Linked DNA regions of Mus musculus: region 2 is reported to be linked to region 1. Evidence: microRNA targets listed by miRTarBase, many of them from high-throughput screens and not tested one by one. Region 1 holds a microRNA gene; the other region holds the end of a gene's coding sequence.

The links. The annotated mature microRNA mmu-miR-3101-5p reads GGUACCAUUGACUAAAGCUAG and lies in region 1 at 2,995-3,015, shown strand. An mRNA with a match to its seed (bases 2 to 7 or 8) in the 3' UTR can be bound and repressed. Matches are read on the target gene's strand: a 7mer-m8 pairs with bases 2 to 8, a 7mer-A1 pairs with bases 2 to 7 and ends in A, and an 8mer does both.
Region 2: miRTarBase lists Frmpd4 as a target of mmu-miR-3101-5p. Seed matches in the 3' UTR shown: 7mer-A1 at 3,197-3,203.

What each region holds. Positions count from the first base shown.
Region 1 is chr7:27,174,677-27,179,072 of GRCm38, reverse strand. Mir3101 (microRNA 3101) reads left to right here and starts at 2,980; the gene lies at 2,980-3,067. It overlaps Rab4b (RAB4B, member RAS oncogene family), which reads left to right and starts at 190. Exons shown (of 8, transcript NM_029391.2): 1 at 190-346; 2 at 2,835-2,915; 3 at 3,180-3,294; 4 at 4,295-4,357. The coding sequence starts at 331.
Region 2 is chrX:167,470,153-167,474,548 of GRCm38, reverse strand. Frmpd4 (FERM and PDZ domain containing 4) reads left to right here. Exons shown (of 17, transcript NM_001368936.1): 17 at 1-3,242. The coding sequence ends at 576. Among named protein-coding and RNA genes, the nearest start is that of Prps2, 90 kb to the right of the region's middle.

The DNA of each region.
Region 1 (4,396 bases):
TCTGCCTCCGCCCTCTCCCACTTGCTCCACCAATCGCTCTTCTATGTCACGCCCCTTTTGACTCGGCCCCTCTCATGCCACCAATCCGCGCCGCTTATCCCGCCCACTGCCTCCTGAATCCACCAATCACTGCGTTGGGCGAGCGTGGCCTGGTATCCGCAGCTCCGGAGGCTCGCGCGGGAGGGGGGGGGGCGGTGAAGGCGGAAGTGGCGGCGCCGGGTCCAGAAGTGGAAAGGAGCTGAGGCTGCAGCCCGAGTGGAGCGGCTGCCAGCCGAGGAACAGGCGCGGCTGCGGCGCCATATTGCGGCCCTCAGCGGTCGCCACTGAGCCATGGCCGAGACCTACGGTGAGGCTGATGGGCCGAAGCAGGGGGGGCTGGGCCCGTAGTGGATGTGGATGTGGAAGTGGGGCGGGGCTTTCTGGTCAGGTGGGCGGGGTCTGCCCGGATACGGGGCAGGGCTAAGTGGGTCTGGGGCTGAGCTAATCGATTTGGGTGGAGCTTGAAGAGGCCGCTGTACGGGTTAAAAAGATCTAGGGCGGGATTTAAGGGACCTAGTCTTGGTAGATTAGGGTAGGGGGTAGGCCTTGAAGAGGGAAGCAAGCCTTCCTGGGCGGAGCATGAGTGGATAGGGCGGGGCTGACGGTGACCAGCAAGGGTCAGGTTTTATGGACTACAGAGAGAGCCTCACAGATGCTGTGCACCCTGCACACTCTGTGGGCTGATCTGGTTTGAGAGGGCTGGAGTGATGTTCTTGAGTTATAGATTTGAAACTTAGCGTCAAGAAATGCGGCATAAGTTTAAGGATAGAGGCCAGGGGTTCTGGACAGAGGATGGGGAGACAAGGTTCAGAGTTAGGCAATCAGTATGGATGTACAGTGTCAGGTGGGTAGAGGTAGGTTGGAAGGCAGTAGAAATCTCTGACGACAATCAGAGACAGCTCCATTCATTGAACACTCATAGAAAAGCCACAGAATCTGGTGCACACTTACCAGAGGAGGTAACCAGTTTAGGACATAGGCCCAACGTCAGAGGCCTTGACAGAGTGAATGAGTGAGAGGGGGTAGGAGGTGAAGTGAAGAGGAATGGAGGTCAGATTTAATTCTTGTTGAAATGGCTTTTGAAATGCATCAGGTAAGGTCTTGCATTGTGGAGACCTTTAGTTTGGGTTTGTAGCTTAGCTGTGCCTAGCTGTGTAGTCTTGCTTTCGTCAGTTAACCTCTCTGGCCTCATTTTCCTAGTCTGGAAAGTAGAAGTCCTTAGTATACTTCCTTCTTTCCTTTTTAAATATTTATTTAATGTATATGAGTACATTGTAGCCGTATTCAGAGCCACCAGAAGAGGGCATTGGATCCCATTATAGATGGTTGTAAGCCACCATGAGGTTGCTGGGAATTGAATTCAGGACCTCTGGAAGAGCAGTCATTGCTCTCAACTGCTGAGCCATCTCTTGAGCTGTATAATTTTATCTTTAGAGCTTTATTTATGATTAAATGAGTCTTTAGGACTGTGATGGGCATGTATATGGTAAACACTATATAAAAATAATTTTGTGTGCTATAACCCTCTCATTTGGGAAACCGAGGCAGGAAGACTGCTTCAAGTTAGAGGTCAGCCTGGACTACAGAGTAATACTCTTTTTCTTTTCTTTCTTTCTTTCTTTCTTTTTTTTTTTAAGACAGGGTTTCTCTGTGCAGTCCTGGCTGTCTTGGAATTCACTCTGTAGACCAGGCTGACCTCGAACTCAGAAATCCACCTGCCTCTGCCTCCCAAGTGCTGGGATTAAAGGCGTGCGCCACCACTGCCTGGCCAAAGTAATACTCTTAAAATAAGAAAAAGAGAAAGAAAGAAAAGTGCAGTGTGCTGGCACTTCCAGCAGTGGGTAGGCTGGGGCAGCAGGATTGCAGTTCAAGACCAGATAGTGAGTCCCTGAGTAGGAAAAAGACAGACAGACAGACAGACAGCAGTGGGTAGGCTGGGGCAGCAGGATTGCAGTTCAAGACCAGATAGTGAGTCCCTGAGTAGGAAAAAGACAGACAGACAGACAGACAGACAGGAAGGAAGGAAGAAAGTAGAGGATGGCAGCACAGTCTTTTAGAGGCTGAGGTAGGAGGAGTGCTTGGAGTTTGAGGACAGCGAGGTTAGTCTGGAATACATAGTGAAGCTTTGTTTCGAATATCAGTAATAATAATGAAAAAAGAAAAAAGAGTCCTCTTGAGCCCAGTAGTGGTGCACACCTTTAATCCCAGCGCCCAGGAGGGCAGAAGAGGCAGGGGAATCTTTGAGTTTCAGGCCAGCCTAGTCTACAAAGTGAGTTCCAGGACAGCCAGGGCTATACAGAGAAACCCTGTCTCAAAAAAAAAAAAAAAAAAAAAAAAAAAATCATCTTGGGCTAGGTTGGCTAGCATGCAGGATTTCCCAAGTTCTATCAACAGCCCTGCAGACTTCTGGATTTTTTTCTTTTTTTAAGTTTTCCTGTTTTCTTTTCTTTCTTTCTTTTCTTTTTTTAAATGCATGCTGTATTTATACTTTTGTGTAAAAGTATACTTTTTTATTATTATACATAAGTACACTCTAGCTGTCTTCAGACACACCAGAAGAGGGCATCAGATCTCATTACAGATGGTTGTGAGCCACCATGTGGTTGCTGGGATTTGAACTCAGGACCTCTGGAAGAACAGTTAGTGCTCTTACTTGCTGAGCCATCTCACCAGCCCAAAAGTATACTTTTTTGTATTTATACTTTTGTGTATACTTTTCCTTCTGACTTTCTGTTTCTTCTCTTATTCCCTTTGTCTTTCTCTCCCTCTGGATATCTTCGGCACCATCTGCTCAGACTTCCTCTTCAAATTCCTGGTGATTGGCAGTGCTGGAACTGGCAAATCATGTCTTCTCCACCAGTTTATTGAGAATAAGTGTGAGTTTCTGGCAGGACCCTGGAACTGCGGATGTGGTCATGGTGTGGGTCAGTGGGGCAGCAGGTGGGGTAGGTAGCAGGTACCATTGACTAAAGCTAGTACTATAGGCTTGCCTCTAGCTTTGGTGGATGGTCTTTGCTAAGTTCTCTGCCAACCCAGCAGTGAGAATTGGGGTACAGAAAAGGAGGAAGAGGTCTGCAGGATGGGGGGGATTCCAGGAGCCCCTGCACTGCCCCCCCACCCCGTTTCCCTCCTACTCTCAGTCAAACAGGACTCCAACCACACTATCGGCGTGGAGTTTGGATCCAGGGTGGTCAACGTTGGGGGGAAGACTGTGAAACTACAGATTTGGGACACTGCTGGCCAGGAGCGGTTTCGGTAGGTAGCCTGGGTTCCCAAGGAGGGGAGAGGGAGGAAGGGGAAGAAAGGTGTGTAGTAAGAAGGTAATGATGAAGTAAGAGCAAAGAGATGCTGAGCAGGGCAGGCAGATGGGGGGTGGGGCAGGGGAGGGGGTGGGCATATTCAGCTCCTGGAGAATCTAGTCTCAGCATATCAGCAGCTTTTAATTAAGTTATGTGTAGATTGAGATTATGTGAGGTATGGAGAACCCAGAGACAGAGAGAGGGTGAAGGAGAAGACAGGCATGTGACAAGGCCTACATTCACAGTAACTGTACGCATCCCTCAAGATTGGTGACAAAGGGAGTTGGCCTGCCTCAGACATCAGGGAGGGACAAGTAGAGGTTGTATAGCACTTGGTCAGGACAGGCAGATGGGAGATAATCAGAAAATGCTCCCTGAGTGAATGAATGAAAGAGGGAAGGCCAAAGTGAGCACTGCCATCCCGAGGACCTAAGTTTGAGCTCCTGAACCCATGTGGTGAAAGGAGAGAAGCAATTGCTGTAAGAGTCCTCTGACCTTCACAATGCGCGATGGAACACGGACACCCACCTACATAAAAGAAACAACGTGCCAGCTTGCCTAGGATATGTTGGATGGGAGTCAGCCTGGGTGAGATAGCATGACCTTGAATTAAACTAAAATGAAGGGTCAGGGTGTAGCTCTGTGTAGAGCACTTACCTAACATGTGCCAGGCCCTTGGCTCCAATCCCAAGAACCTACGGGTATGGTGGCGGAGGCAGGGAACCTGAGGCCAGCTTGGACTATAGAGTGAGACTCTCAAAAAGCCAACCTGAATAATACTAATTGAGAAAGACTCTGAGGCCGAGAAACTGTATCTCAAGAAGATGGAGGTCAGGCTCTAGGGAATGGGCCAACAGTAAAGGGGGCCTCCGAACCAGTAGCCTCTCTCCACAGAGGGGGGCAGTCCTGGGGCAGATCCCAGCCTTGGGGGTGACTGGGTCCCCCTGGCCTCACAGGTCGGTGACGCGGAGTTATTACCGAGGGGCAGCTGGAGCCCTGCTGGTGTATGACATCACCAGGTGGGTGCAGGGCCTGGGTGGCGTGGGAGAGGCCGGGCC
Region 2 (4,396 bases), not on the chromosome of region 1:
CCAGATGGCCCAGATGACTTGGACTTCAGCAGTCTGGCTTTTGATGCCCGGATTGCAAGAATAAATGCCCTAAAGGCAAACACATATGGAATGCCCGATGGGTTTCTCGAAGCCCAAAATGATGCCAATGAGCTGCTCTGCCTTGTGAGGGCAACCAAGGCAAGGAAGGAGGAGTCACGCCCTGAAACATATGACCTTACACTTTCTCAGTACAAGCAACTGTTATCCATTGAGTCCAGACAGTTGGGAAGTGCCTGTAGGAAAATGGCAATGGCCGAGAAAAGCCCAGAAGAGATGCTCCTAGCTATGAGTTCCAGTTTTCAAGTGCTCTGTTGCCTAACAGAAGCTTGCATGCGGTTAGTGAAAGTCGTGAACACTGAAACACAGCGGCAAGAAATTGTAGCAAAGATTGATGAAGTGGTCATAAACTATATTTGTCTCCTGAAAGCTGCTGAGGCAGCCACTGGCAAGACCACTGGGGATCCTAATATTGGACTATCGATGCGACATTCAACCACCATGGCCGCTCTTGTAAGCACACTAACACGTTCTCTCAAGATGCTTTTAAATAAATAAATATGGAAGTCACATCATAATCTATCTTTGCAAAGCCATACATGAACTTTTCTTTACTTTCTGTGTACAATGAACAGATGTCTCCTTTCTTCTCTCTGTATATTTTGTTCTTTTATATAAAATAGGAGATAGAAGTTACATTGATGAAATGTTGAAAAGTCTCAATCAGATATATTCTGTTTATATTATACAAATATACATGTAGAAGGAATATATGAGAAAATGATGACATTTGACTATTTTTCATGTAGTCAAAACTCTAAGCATATGATATGAAATTTTAAATTCTACATTGTTAGAGGAAAACAATGAATCCTATCCCCTTTCCTTCCAAATGGATACTTGGAGACCCTATCATTCATATTTAGAAGAAAAGCCAAAAGAAACAGAATAGAAAAGAAATCAAAATGTATATAAAATAGTTCCCGTGTTTTAAAATCATAATTTTTAAACATTGGAAGTAGCAAAAATATATTTAAAATTCAAGAAGCTAATATGAATTACTAGAAAATATATAATAAATTAACTTTTTGCTCATAGTGTTTTGTTATTGGATGCTTTCTTCCAAGAATCCCCACATATTCAATTTTGGTTTATGCTATTTGGGCTACAGATTGGCAGGGGTGGGCAGATTCCATTGTGTCAGCATAAATGCTTTTTATAGTATTTCTAGACTTAAAAAGTTCCCCCAAATAAAAGAACAGGGGAAATTATGGGCAGGATCCTAGGCAATAACTAAAGGTATAGGTTGTCTAATTACATAAAATAAATGGAATTAGTAATGCCAAAATTAAATTGTTTGATGAAAAGAGAGATCTGCTTTGACTCAATGTCAAAATACATAAACCGAAGGCATTATTTCCTTCCAACTCAACCATGAAGCTTACTATTTCCTTTCAAGAACACCTAGTAAAGTGTTTGTAGAATTACACAAAAGCAGATTTAATGAGCACAAAAAGTGCAGACCCAGCAATGTAAATCAGAGCGCACCCCAGCACCTGGGAAGCACAGCTCAGCCTTCAACTCTTAGTCCTCAGCTCCATGAAGGGCTTCCTGTTGCCCCTCTCTGACAGGAGCATGGCTAGCAACAAAACGTGGAAAGACAGCCTACTACTGGGACAAAATTTCAAATCTAGAGTGTTCCAGAAAATCAAGTAGAGATGACTACTCTCATAATTGAAACCATGATTCAAAAGGTAGTATTTACCTAATGAGTACTTCATTTGGCAGATAGAAATACAAAATCTGACAGAAACATGGCAAATTTGACTATTTTAAGTGAAACTAAGGGAATACAAAGGTGTGTTCTGAACTGTCATCACTCAAATTATATCTTTGGGTCAAAACAAAAGAAGGCAAACTCTTCAATCATAAGTTAAATTGATATGTACATATGTAGTTTCTGGATCACTCTGTAGTCAAGCTCCCCAATTCCTATTTCTGTAAATGGCTTAGAATAAGAGTAGTATAGCAAGAATCAATATTTCCCATTTTGTAGCCTGCCATGCAGGAGACCTAGCAAGGTCTACAGTTGCTATTTCTCTCTGGTCAGCCATTCATTCCACAGAGACTCAGCAAATGCAACACCACAGATTTACAGATTGTAACCAATGAAAGGAGTTCAGATATACGTTGTTATAAATAATGTTTGATTAAATAATAAAACATTATTTCATTACAATTCTAAATATTTGGTGTTTTGCTGTTGAGAGACATTAGTGGTGTTTACTGTGGAAAATCTTAGCAAATATTCTGTGTACTATAATACAAACAATAATAGGATGTGTGCTCTGTGTCAGACAATGTGCTAAACATTATTATCACATGTATTATCTCATTTAATCATGTCTATGATCTCTTGGTTTGGACACTATCATTAGTTCCTTCTGGAGGCATTATGGTTTACTAGTTATGAAATGTGGGGCTTGGGATCAGAAACATCTTGATTTAAATTTTGGTCCTGCCATTCCCTAGCCCTTTCATCTTGGGAAAGCTATCTTTTCTTTTTCAGTCTTGATTTCCTTATTGTGAAATGGACTTCAATCATGAGATCTATTTCCATAGGGTTTTCACAAGTTTTAAGTAAAATTGTGTATTGTAAAGTTCTTACCACAATATCTGATGGAGAATAAGTATTCAATGTTAGATATTATAATTATCATAATTGTTGTGTTAAACATATTGCCCAAGATACTGTGTGGAGGATGTTTGTTTTCGATGCATACTGTATCCTGATTGTGTGCAGAACACATTTGTGTGTAGTGCATACTCTGAAAAGAAGCATACAGGGAAATGATGGTCTGTTTTCAAATTGCAAATCTAGCTAGAACAACTTCCTACTCCATTGTGGTTCTTTGAGAAGCCTCAGGGAAATAGCTCTGGGTCTTTCTAGCCAATCTCTAATTTCCTGTGACTACTCCAGTAAGTTTCTGTTCTCCTAAAGCAAGTCTTTACTATTCAAAAATCTCAAAAGGCCCCCTCACCTTCATTAAGCATGGGGCTCCTAACTGGAGTTCATGTCCATTAGAGTATAGGAAGAACATACTAGAATGATACTTGTGTTTATTTTTATCTAGTTTTTTTATGTTTGTGTATGTTTTATAATGGCATAATAGTACAGTGGTACATGTACATAATTTTAAATAAATAAATAAACAAATAAACAAGCATAAGCCTGGTGCATGTATGCAAATACCGTCACAGGTAGCGTTGCATTCACTAAATTTTGAAGAACATGGAACTGGCACTGAAATTTGTTTACACTTGGAGTATGTAAACTCCTATTTTCCTAAGTGTCTCTCTCCCCACTCTCATGTAGCTGTCATTATAAAAGGTACAAATGTGTACAAAAATTCATGCAGTTGTAAAAGGTGTCAACTGGTGACTCCTTGGATATCAACTCCTAATCAGTATTACTTGCTCCATTTCTACACACCTCCTCCCAACCTGTAAGATTTAGAAACTCCCTGGTACCCTGTCCCTTAATCTATGAGTATCTCATTAGGAATAAGAACTTTAAAAAATAACCACAATGCCACTTCACATATAAAAATGAGCAATTCTTCCATATCATTAAACAAACATTACAGAAATAAATGGTAATGAAAATGAAAGTCCTTTACAAGTGGAGCCTCCATAGACTTTGTCCATAATCACTGCCATCTTTCCCCCATCCGTTTCTCTTTATTTATCGCTATTTTCATTCATTTCATTCTTCTGAGTTTAACTTTGAACTCAGTTGGTGTGAGCACATGAATCTTAATTTGTTCATAAGTCATGTAAGTGGATTTGTCAAAAGGAACATTGTAGGCATGAGAGGGAGAGTTGTCACATGAACAACAGTCATAGCATTAGTAAGAGCCACTATTTGATACAGTTGCTTCAATGTCAAATTTAACATGGAATCCACCAATTTGGGGCTCAACAGGAATGATCCTAATCACATAAGTAATTGTTTTCTAGAAAATAGAGGCTGAAAATGAGTTTTGAAACCATCAGCTACAATACCACCACAAGAGTTTGATTAGTTTTGCTAAGAAGACCACCTTTTCCTGATAGACACTCTCCATTTGCTTGTATTCCTTTTACATATACTTCCAATGCCAATTATCAATGACCTTAGTGCTATTTCTGAGCCACTCAGAATGTTACTTTAATCTCTTCTGCCTGCATTTTTTTAATTTGACAATGGGGCAATTTATTCTTTATTTACCACTCACTGAGCTGCTGATAACTGTTTCCAGTTGGAAAAAGGAGGAGAGTGAATCAGCTTTGTTCAGCCAATTCCTCATCTTTTCTAAGCACTTAGAAACCTTAATGT